Ovis aries: one gene and its partners. The protein of the gene in region 3 purifies or fractionates together with the protein of the main gene of each other region. This does not show direct contact. Links are inferred from orthologs where the notes say so. Each region holds a gene or a part of one and is shown on either strand. Other genes may lie near its edges.

Region 1 (3,647 bases), on a different chromosome or scaffold from region 3:
GTAACCTTTCCAAATCCAAGATTTTTGTGTTTACATCATATTCTGTAGTTTATTGTGAATGAATTGATTGCGGGAAGGTGTGTAAAAGCTTAGGATCCTGACCTTGATAACAAAGTAATCGGAAGCAGTGCATAAATTTAGCTGTCATCATAGATGAGTGCTGTGTTTCAGCAATAGAATCACAGGCTCTAAATGTCCAATAAGTCGTTTGCTATTCATCTTTAACAAGATGTTTTTGAATATTATATAGTTCGCCAGTATCTTTTCCTTCAGTATTAACAATATTCTTGAAAGCTGCACCTCTGATTATTGAATTAAAAAAAGATTCTGAGCCATTATTATTTTTCAATTAAAAAGTAAACCTTGTTTTGAAAAATTTGGACAGTTTTGGATTGTGAACAGTGCTATTCCGCCTAAGCAATTTAAAACTGTAGCCTAAAATTTAGAAAATCAATCGATTTCCTGAAAAGTTTTTCTGGTAAGTTTTGTGACCGAAGAAATTTGCTGAGGGAATTTTAACTTTCAGAAGTTGTGACTAATACTTTTTTCTTCATAAATATAACATTGCACTTAATTGTTTCCCTTCAGAAGGGAGGGGGGTAAAAAAGGAACAATGGTAATACACCTAATATAGCTAAATTATCTCAGCCCCAAATCCCCTTGCATATGTGATTAAAGAAACTCATGTCCTCGTAGGAGCCTGGATACATAAAGGAAATGTTTCCTTTCAGCAACAGCTAACAATAATGTTTATTCTGGGGATGTTATGAACACATTTGATTCCTGAGAGTCCACACTTCCCACAGATTTTGTGTGTGGAATGTTTAAGTGCTGGTCAGAGGATGTCACGGCCTTGTAAAGAGAAAAGGAGAACCATGAGACTTTGCCCTAGTGGAAGTGGGTGGGGCTGATGGTCAGATTGTTCTCCGTGGAATGGAGATGTGTGGGCCCGTAGGGGCAATCGAAGGAACAACAGCCTTTATTTAGCAAAGTAGAAGTTTCCTGATTTTTTATTGGGTTTAGTTGGGCTGACAGCTCTTGGGATAAATATGATCACAGGGTCTGAATACTCAGCAAGCAAATTCTCAGCTCATGTTTAACATCCATTTCGAAATTTAATATGAAAGGAGAATTTTATTCTAAACAGATGATTCTTAAAATATAGCTTGATTGCATTGATCATTAAAAACAGCATCCCAATCACATCACTTTTTTTCCCAGAGAAAATAAACTATTTTGAACACGTGAGCAATTTGGAAACATCTGAAACCAATTTCCTTCTCAAGCTACGAATTAAATAATGGCCTTAGAAGACAGTGCTCTATGATTTATGACTGCATGTTATACAGATAGTAGTGTCACACTAGTTCCTGACTTTCAGATTTGTTTTTTGGTCTTTGCGGTATAAGTTGCCTTTTTCTAAAGTACATAAGTTTCAGTCATCAGCCTGCTGAGGTGGCTGAGGTGACTCCTACGTCCTGTTCTGTGGGGGAGGCACCATGGACGGGGTAAGTGGGGGGAGCCTCATTAAGACACTCCTGCCCCCTCCTCCAGCACACCTGGGACACCCTGGAAGGGGTTGATTCCTGTGTTTTTCTTTGTTATTTGTTTTGATTCTCCACTTTTTGTTGTAACAAAACAGAATTTTTCTTGTGACTAAGTTGATTGTGTTTAACAGCATAATTAGGAATAATTATGAAAACAATACAGTGAGGAAGGAAGGAAACCTTTTTATTTCCTTTCTCCTAGAACACAAACGGGATCCTGGCCATGCTGGATGAAGAGTGCCTTAGGCCGGGCACGGTCACGGATGAGACCTTCTTGGAAAAGCTGAACCAAGTCTGCGCTACCCACCAGCATTTTGAGAGCAGGATGAGCAAGTGCTCCCGGTTCCTCAATGACACTTCCCTTCCTCACAGCTGCTTCAGGATCCAGCACTATGCTGGCAAGGTGTGGGAGCCCGGGACCCCAGGGAGGTCACAGTTACTCCCTGGAGAGCAGACACCTTGCCTCAGAGATGGCATTCTGACCAGCATCAGCTCTGGAGGATAAATGGAGTTGCTGAGGGGGCATGGAATCCATGAATGTTCCGTGGGCATAGAATCTGGACCATACTGAGAAAAATCTTACTAGTACTGAGATCTGAAGGAAAGCCAGAGGACCTAATCAAAGAGTTCAAGTATATATTAAAAAATAAATTTTATTATTTTCAGGCTCAGAGCTAGCCTATAAAAAAGATCTATTTGACACGTATAAAAAATTTGCCAGTAAAAATGAGCAGTCACTAAAGACATACAGTAAGGTTTTAATTTTTTAAATTTTATTTATTTTTTTGATGTGGACCATTTTATAGTACTGCTTCTGCTTCATGTTCTGGGGTTTTGGCTGCAAGGCATAGCTCCCTAACAGGGGAACTAACCCACACCCCCAGCATCGGAAGGCAGAGTCTTAACCATTAGACTGCTAGGGAAGTCCCTACAGTAATTATAAATAAGCTTGCAGACATCAAAGGGGAAACAAAATCTGATTTTGTATTTTGTACGAAGTTGTTTTGTTGTTGTTTAGTTACTAAGTCATGGTCTGACTCTTTCGTGACCTCATGGATTGTAGCCCACCAGCCTCCTCTGTCCATGGAATTTTCCAGGCAAGAATACTGGAGTGGGTTGCCATTTCTTTCTCCAGGAGATCTTCCTGACCCAGGGCTTGAACTAGAGTCTCCTGCATTGGCAGGCAGATTCTCTACCAGTGAGCCACCAGGGAATCCCAAATATGAAGTATATTGTATCTAAATTACCTTTAATTTCAAAATGTTGGAACTTGTTACTTCACTTTTTTTTTTACTAGCCCATGTTATTAAAAAATACTTTTCTGGTCAATTTCCCTGCCAGTGTAGGATGTCTATAAAAATATCAGTGTTATCTGTGTTTTCCCCTGTCTCCTTTTAAACATACTCGAATTGGCACATGTAAACTAAAAAATATAAGTAAAACCTCAAAAATATGATTGAATACCAAAAAAATCCCTAAAATCCTTTGAAAATGTTATGATAACATTTTTGAAGTTTATTCTTGCAAATCCTGAAGGGTAATAGAATTTATTTTGAACTCCTCTGTGATTTAGACAGATGGAATTTAAACTTGGAGGCTAATTTGGTATTAGAGTGTGACTAACGTGTTGAGGGTTTTTTGATGGAGAAAGAAGAGGCTGCAGTATAGATAGTCTCAGGATATTTTTAACAGCTGTTTGATGTTCTGGTGTGCAGTGTATCAGCTACTGAGTCCCATGTGCTGCTCATAGGTGCTGTACCAAGTGGAAGGATTTGTGGACAAGAACAATGACCTTCTCTATCGGGACCTGTCCCAAGCCATGTGGAAGGCCGGACACGCCCTCATCAAATCTTTGTTTCCCGAAGGAAACCCTGCCAAGATCAACCTGAAAAGGCCTCCTACAGCCGGCTCACAGTTCAAAGCATCCGTAGCCACTCTGATGAAAAATCTACAGACCAAGAATCCAAACTACATTAGGTATTTCTGGCACATAAAATTCTTTGGCCATTCAACTATGAAGGCATTCACTAGGAAGATCATTTTCCTGTGTGCTTAAATCTGAGTGTGGCCCAAGCAGAGGAGTAACTAAAGTACTTACAG
Region 2 (3,647 bases), on a different chromosome or scaffold from region 3:
TTAGGCTTCTCCCTCTCTTCTTCCTTGGGCTTCTCCTTTTCCTTGAGTGTTTCATCTACGCAGGGGGCAGTGGGAGCCGGCGAAAATTTATTGTTGGGTGAGGGGAAGACAGAGAAGTTGTTAAGCCTCCCCCAACCAGTCTCTCCCAAAAGGGCCCCCTCCTTATTAATTTCACCCGCCTCTTGCCTCCACACCAGCCCCCTCACCCTCCCCAGCACCGTCAATAGGAAGAGACTGAAAATAAAACCTACCAGCCTCTTCCTTCTCCTCCTCGGCCTGGCCACTCTCAGACTCTGACTCCGACTCGGACACACTGCCTTCATCAAAGCTGTCATCGCCACTGTGCTTCCTATTCCGCTTCTTACTGCTCTGTGAGACCCATAGCAAGGGGGGGAGTCAGGTACCAGGACCCAGCCCGGGCTGTGACCTTATCCAAGCGAGAACCTACCTTTTTGGCTTCTTTCTCAGAGTCTTCCTTTTTCTCTTCTTTGTCTCCATCACCTTCAGATTTCTTAGTTTTGTCATCACTGGAACTGTCATTTTCAGCCTATAGGTAGAAACAAATCACCAGGAACATCATTCTCTCCTTCAGCCTTTTTCAGAGGGCCCTGCCCAGCCTCTAGCAGCTCAGTCCAAGTTTGCCTCTCGCCCACCCAATACCCAACCCCCTAAAGCGGCTCCATTTCCCACGCCCCAGGCCTCACAGACAGCACCAGAAGCCCCAGCACTGAGACCTGTTTGCCGTCTTCTTTCTTGTCATCCTTTTCATTGGCCTTGCGCTCTCCATCACCCAGGCCTGGTCCGACCCGGCCTTCCTCTTTCTTGCTGGGCTCCCCAGGCTTTCCTGCCTGCTCCTCCTCCTCCTCCTGCTCCAGGATCCGCAGATCATTCTCTGTGCCTCCTTCCATCTTAATCACAGCTACCAACACAGGGAACAGAGGTCTCAATCCAAGGGTCTTGGCCTTCTGCCTCTGGCTTGCTATCAGTTTTCACCTTCAGCCAGGACCCTGGTCAGCAGACGAGCCCACCCTCCCAGCCCACACACCTGCATCGAGCATCTTGACAATGGCATCAGCTCTGTCTATGTCCAGCAGCAGATTATCAAACCAGCCACCCTCCATGAGAGACAGGAACACCCTTAGTCGGTTTTGCAGGGCCCCTCGGGCCTCCTGCCGACGCTTCCCCACCTCATCTGGGTGGTACTTAGACCGAAACCTGAGGAGGAAGGGGGAAGGGAAGAGCCAAACAGTCATTGGAGGCCAGAGCCAGGACATGGGGAGGGGCCCGGGAAAGTCAGGGCACAGCCCCCATCCTCTCACACCCACAGAAGGTCATGACAGCGGAGGTCAGGGGAAGGGGTGCACCTGAACCACCCACCCCCCGAAAGGAACAGAGGCTATGCTCTGAGAAGACCTGGGGGCGAGCCAGGAACTAAGCTCTAGATTTGCAAAGAGTATGACTACAGGGGGAGTCAGGGCTGGAGGCAGAATGACGCCCGAAGTGTCTGGGAAACACAAATTTTAAGGAATATAGTTTCCCACAGCTTCCCAGACTAACACTAAAGAAACAGCAGATCCCAAAGAACCTCCCTCTCCTTGCCAACCCAACTAGAATCATTAAAAGGATTGCTCCCACCAGCTCCCTCCATCCCTTGGTGGAAGACAGGAAAACCTGAAATCACCAGAAAGGAAAAGCCACAAAAGGCAGGACACCTTTCTCCCCTCTAGGGAAGATAAGCAGCTGGTGAAGGGACAGGGAAAGACCAAAGGGAGAAACTGAAGTGCCCTTATAACCTCAGGTACTGCCCACAGGGGTCAAGAGAGGACAGGGGTGGAGGGTTAGGTTAGAGCATGAAAAAGAAACACTTAGAATAGGACCCTGGGCAGGAGGGGGCGGGGAGGACAGAAGAATTAGGATATGCAAAGAAGGGCAAAGTTTGAGAAAGTCCCAGAATAAAAACGAGGAAAACTATAAAGACCAAATGAAAACTAGGAAAAAACAAAAACCCAGTGGAAAGAAGTGTTAGACAGGAGCAAGAATGGGGACAGAGAGAGAATGACAGGTTTATGAGCGAGTAAGACAAAGACAGGGGTTAGGAAGAAAGAGGAGACAGTGACAGAACAGAACCACAAGCTGAGCAGAAGAGGAAGGGAGAGCCGCAGGCGTCACCTCCAGGATCTTTACCTTGGCCGCTTGGTCAAACAGAGCTCAAGATTTAACTAGCCGCGCCCAGGGCCCATGCTGGCTGGTGGGCCACGGCTGGCTCCTGGCTGGGGCGCCCGGCCCGGGTGCCCCACCCCCGCGGGACTCCGCGGTGGGGGCCCTGACTGACTAGCTGCCTGAGCAATCACATTCAGCTAAACCGCTGCATTGTGCACAACGGTGCCCTGCCTGTCTGCCTGGCCCGGGCAGCGCGGTCAGCCCAGGGGGCTCATGTATGGGCTGGGTATGGTGGGGGTGGAGGTGGGTTTGCTCCGAGCTCCGTCGATGAGCGGGTGTAGTTCCCAGTTCTGGCTCTTTTCAAGGAGGAGGAGCAGAAAGAGGATGAGGAGGAGGAGGAGCAGGAAGGGGGGAAAAGATGGTTGATTAAAATTAAAACATCCACAAAAGGAAAAAAATCAAAATTCTTTTTCTGTCAAACGATCCTGAGAGCTTTGCTTTTCTTGTCTGGATTCACTCGTTGCTTTTGGGAGGACACCACCACCACACAGGGTCCCGGCGATCAGGGATGGCGGTGACCCCGAACGGCAAGGGGGAGGCGGTGCGTCTGCCGCCTCAGAGGAACAGGTGGCTCTGGCCAGCTGCCTGGAGGTGGCTCACTCACCGAGGACGGCGGGGAAGGGAGATGGGGGGGGGGGGGCCGTGGCGGACGTGGAGGTGAGGAGACCCATCAGCCAGGGCTGGCACACTCCCCTCCCCCGCCCCCAGAAGTGCTGGACTGGGTGAGCTGGGGAGAGCACAGGGCTGCAGGCTCCACTGGCGGGGCCAGGGGAAACATGCCAGGGAAAGGACGGCAGGTGAGGAGGGGCACTCACCACTCCTCATCCTTGTGAGCCAGGAAGAAGTCCTGCATCTGCTGCCTCCGGAAGTCCAGCTTGTAGTCGTTGTAGCGCTTGACCGCCTCGGTCTCATCCACAGCATCATCCAGGGACAGGAGGAACTCCTTGAAGGTCTTCATAACAGGGGGCGGCACGCCCAAGTCGATCTCTGCTATGCTGCCCAGCCTAGGGGGGCAGGGGGACGCACCAGTCAGGAAGTCTTGGATGTGGGGGAAGAGGGTGGGGAAATCGGGGGGCCAAGGCAGCCAGCTGCCCTCTCCCTTTGCCCACCAAGACCATCGCCCAAGGCACCAACGGCTGCCACCACCCACTGGTGCCCTTGCATGCCCAACCCAATTCTCCTGGCCTCAGCCACCCCAATTCATCCCCAAATGTGGACCCCCTTCTCCCGGCCCCCCGGAAGCGCAGGTCTCACCTGGCCTGGATAGGCAGAACAGGGTGCTGCACGATGTGGACGTCTGGGTGGCCCCAGGGCTGAGGGGGGCCATAAGCTGGGCCCCCACCCCCCCCAGCATAGGGCATCTCATAGCCACTGTGGTATGGGTCAGAGCTGTGCTCATCCCTGAGGGTGGGGGACACAAAAGTCAG
Region 3 (3,747 bases):
AACTGAACATTCCTTTGTTTTTCTTCATAGCATTTATCCGTACTTGACATGTCTCCCCTGTTAAATGAACTCTGTGATGATAGGGCTGTTCATTGCTATGTACCCAGATCTTAGGCTAGCACTTGACGCAGGACTGGCAGTTGATAAATGCTATTGAAAAAAAGATATTGTGTGTTGGAAAAACTGCCCTTCTGTAACATCATCCTTGAATCACTGTTATTTCTTTTGGCCACAGAAAACGAGCCTTGAACCAGTGAGGTTATCTATAGGGTATTTATTAAGCACTCTTTAATCAGGGAGACAGGATACAGTAGAGAATAAAGTGGTGTCTCCATTCTGGCTCTGTCACCTTGCTAGCTGTATTACTTTGGACATGTTTATTTCTTTGAATCTGTTTGCTTGATATAGAATGGGAATAATGGTACACCTTGGTGTTAAATGGTTAAGTGATAATAGGTAAAAGGTCAAACGTTTGTTATCAGTTTTGTTAAGTCACATTTGACTTCTGTAGCATATAAAAGTGAGGCGGGAGATATCAAATGTTTCATTCAGGAAAAATATCCAGGATGAACCAAGGGAGGGGTTATTGGGTAAAGGGTTAAGCACATTCTGGTTGAAATAACATTTATTAAAATGTTACGTAACACTCAGGTTTCCCTGGTGGCTCAGTAGGTAAAGAACCAGCCTGCAATGCAGGAGACCTGAGTTCAACCCCAGGGTGGAGAAGATCCCCTGGAAGAGGGCATGACAACCCACTCCAGTAGTCTTTCCTGGAGAATCCCATCGACAGAGGAGTCTGGTGGGTCTGACACGACTTAGCGACTAACCCACCACCATGTAACCCTCATGCCCTAGTATTTATCGTTAACACTTGGGGCAGAATCTAGACCCCCAGTCCTGCAAGCAGTGGCTTCAGAACACCTTCCTAACTTACAGCCCAAGCCCACGGCCCTTAGGACATCAGATACATCAGCCAACCATTACTTTGGGTAAATGCCGTTCCAAGGCTGGGGAAAAGGTAGGGGGTAGGTTCCGTGAGACCTATTCACTATCTACACCTGGGGCTGGCCATTCCCTAACTCCAGCGCCAGCGCCCCCAGGTCACCTTGACTACCGGGCCAAGGACCCCGTGGGAAATCGAAGTCCCGCCAGCTTGGGTCCTCCTGCGCCCAGAGGAGGGATGCCCAGAGAGAAGACCTGAATGGCAAGAATCTAAATGAAGAGAGAGGCGCGGAAAAGAACTGGACACGCGGAAAAAAGATAACAATGGGAAGGATTATAGTTTCCTTGATGCATTTTGTTACTGGTAGTAGCAAAAGGGTAAGAAGTGGCTTAAAAATTTTTTTTTCACGCAGGCATTTTCTAAAGGCAACCCTAGAACGAGCAGAACTACACAACCGTAGAAGGCCCGTCTTCCGGTTCTTTGCGCCTGCGCGCTCGCATCAGCGAAGGCGGGAGGCCGGGTGGAGGGAAAACCGGGAACCGGAAGTGAAGGCAGATTCCCTTCTTCGTCGCTGTTGCCGCCGCCATACGTCTTTGCCTTGCTCAGGTAAGCTTTGGGCCTTCGGCACCATCCGCCTCCATCTGCGTTTCTCTGCGGCCATCCTGTCGCACGAGCTCCTGATAGCCCTTGCACAGGCCATGATCTGGTTGTTGGAGTCTGATTGGGTCGTTAGTTCCATCGCTTGCATCTTTTTCGAGATGAAGAAACTTTGGGGGGGAGGTAGGGAAGCTAGGGGGGCCCAATCCAAGATGGTGGCCCCGGCGCCATTGTGTTTTCTTTGCTTCTCGCTCCTTCGGTGGCCCCCCTCGATTACTCGAGGCCCCAGTGACATTGAGAGGCGGCGCCAGGCGTCCTCTGGTCCTGGGTATTTGCGGAGGGCGGGGTCTTCTCACTTTCCCGCTTATTTCTGGGTCCTCGGTCCGCGGCGGGAATAGGAAGAGGAGCCGGCTTCTAGGCCTACCTGGACGTTTCTCGGCCCGGTTTGCCCACCGTTATTTGGAGCATTTCCTAAATGTTTACGAGTGGTGTCATTGTGTGTTTTTCGGAAACGAGCCATACCTAAGGAGTGATGGAGGAGTGGGTTTTTTTCTTCTGGCCGAGACATTCTTTAGCCCCCACCCTCCTCCGCCACCACCGCCGAAGGATTTTTTACGCGCGAGTGTGAGGTGTCTGAGGAGTGGGAGACTGGAGTGTTGGGAGAGGTGGATGGCAGCCATATGATGTTTCCATTTTGAAAAGTGAGCGCTTTGCTCAATGACGACCGTAAATCTATCACCCTTGACTGATGGCTGCTGTCCACACCTTGAGATTATCGGGAAAGCACAAGGTCTTTCGTTGAGGATTTTTCATTTTGTCACTTAACATTCTCCAGTCTTGTAAATTGTTAGTAGCAGTCTGTTTTTTATGTGTCTTTAATTTTTATCCTTACTGCTGTCCTGGAGCAGGAATTGAGAAGCTGGCCTGGCCTTCCTAGCTTTCCGGTTTCTGCTTCTCCGATCCTATCTTTTTGGGAACCTATGTCCTAATCGTCACTCCTGGGAAACACACTTTTCCCATTCCGTGTGTTATGTTTACCTTTTGTTTCTTTGTCTTGTGTTTTTTTGTTACTTTTTTTCCCCCTTTGTTACTTTTGTTTCCAGGTACATGTGTCGGTTTGGGGAAAGGAAGAGTGTGGGGATGGACGGGATAGATGGTGAAGGCTCTACTCATGACTGATGTCTTCTCCCTGTTTTTCCCCCCTCCCAGCTCTTCTGTCAGAAACTAGTGTGTTTCTTTTCCTCTTCTGTTCCTCAAGCCCCCACTCTCCTCCTCTTGTCTTCCTTTATTCTGCGCTAACCCATCCGGAGACCCTTCCCCTTTTCCTGCCGGCCCAGTTATGGCGGAGAACGATGTGGACAATGAGCTCTTGGATTATGAAGATGATGAGGTGGAGACGGCAGCTGGGGGAGATGGGGCTGAGGCCCCTGCCAAGAAGGATGTCAAGGGCTCCTATGTCTCCATCCACAGCTCTGGCTTTCGTGACTTCCTGCTCAAGCCAGAGTTGCTCCGGGCCATTGTTGACTGTGGCTTTGAGCATCCATCAGAAGGTAAATTTCCTGTTGGGCATGGAGTACTCATTGGTGCTTTAAGGATACAAGAAAACAGATAATAGCCATGGTCCCTTACAGTTTTATATATAGGATAGATCAGGAAATAAGTACCAGAACCTATTTCAGCAGTAGAAGATGTTTATATAGGTTTGTCTTTGTTCATGATAGTATGTAAGTGCTAGTGACTTCAAAGCAACTTAGAGTGGCTTTTCTCCTTGTCTCCTTGTTTTAAATTTTGTCTTTTAATTTAAAATTTCCAAAGAGGAGCTGGTTGGACCCTTGGATCAAATCACCTCTGGTCTCTGTAAACCTTTATGGCTGGTCTAAAGATAGCTGTCTTTTGGGTCAAGTACTAAGTTCTTCCCTGGTGGCTCAGACGGTAAAGCGTCTGCCTGCAATTTGGGAGACTGGGTTCAATCCCTGAGTCGGGAAAATCCCCTGGAGAAGGAAGTAGCGACCCACTCCAGTACTCTTGCCTGGAAGATCCCATGAACGGAGGAGCCTGGCAGTCTATAGTCCACGGGGTCACAGTCGGAGAGATGACTGAGCAACTTCACTTTCACCGGGTTCTTCATTTTGCCCAAGGTTGCAGAGTTATGTCACCCAAAGCATGACAATCTAAGTAGGAGAAGTAGCCTGTGACAGGCCCTCAAA

What was found.
Region 1: the proteins of DDX39B (region 3) and MYO1B purify together in Homo sapiens (affinity purification with mass spectrometry, with the first as the bait; 3 studies listed by BioGRID). This does not show direct contact. The link is inferred for Ovis aries from reciprocal best matches to the Homo sapiens genes DDX39B and MYO1B.
Region 2: the proteins of DDX39B (region 3) and SRRT purify together in Homo sapiens (affinity purification with mass spectrometry; 3 studies listed by BioGRID and IntAct, with this or other methods). This does not show direct contact. The link is inferred for Ovis aries from reciprocal best matches to the Homo sapiens genes DDX39B and SRRT.

The regions. Positions count from the first base shown.
Region 1 is NC_056055.1:193,653,065-193,656,711, forward strand, and holds part of MYO1B (unconventional myosin-Ib), read left to right. Parts: intron 1-1,749; coding exon 1,750-1,950; intron 1,951-3,297; coding exon 3,298-3,524; intron 3,525-3,647. UniProt on the Homo sapiens protein: Motor protein that may participate in process critical to neuronal development and function such as cell migration, neurite outgrowth and vesicular transport.
Region 2 is NC_056077.1:36,206,451-36,210,097, forward strand, and holds part of SRRT (serrate RNA effector molecule homolog), read right to left. Parts: exon of another isoform or gene 3,622-3,647; coding exon 3,475-3,621; intron 3,225-3,474; coding exon 3,036-3,224; intron 1,216-3,035; coding exon 1,046-1,215; intron 920-1,045; coding exon 735-919; intron 548-734; coding exon 449-547; intron 370-448; coding exon 252-369; intron 56-251; coding exon 1-55. UniProt on the Homo sapiens protein: Acts as a mediator between the cap-binding complex (CBC) and the primary microRNAs (miRNAs) processing machinery during cell proliferation.
Region 3 is NC_056073.1:26,828,397-26,832,143, forward strand, and holds the start of DDX39B (spliceosome RNA helicase DDX39B), read left to right. Parts: upstream 1-1,496; 5' UTR 1,497-1,723; exon of another isoform or gene 1,724-2,386; intron 2,387-2,749; 5' UTR 2,750-2,879; coding exon 2,880-3,090; intron 3,091-3,747. UniProt on the Homo sapiens protein: Involved in nuclear export of spliced and unspliced mRNA. Component of the TREX complex which is thought to couple mRNA transcription, processing and nuclear export, and specifically associates with spliced mRNA and not with unspliced pre-mRNA.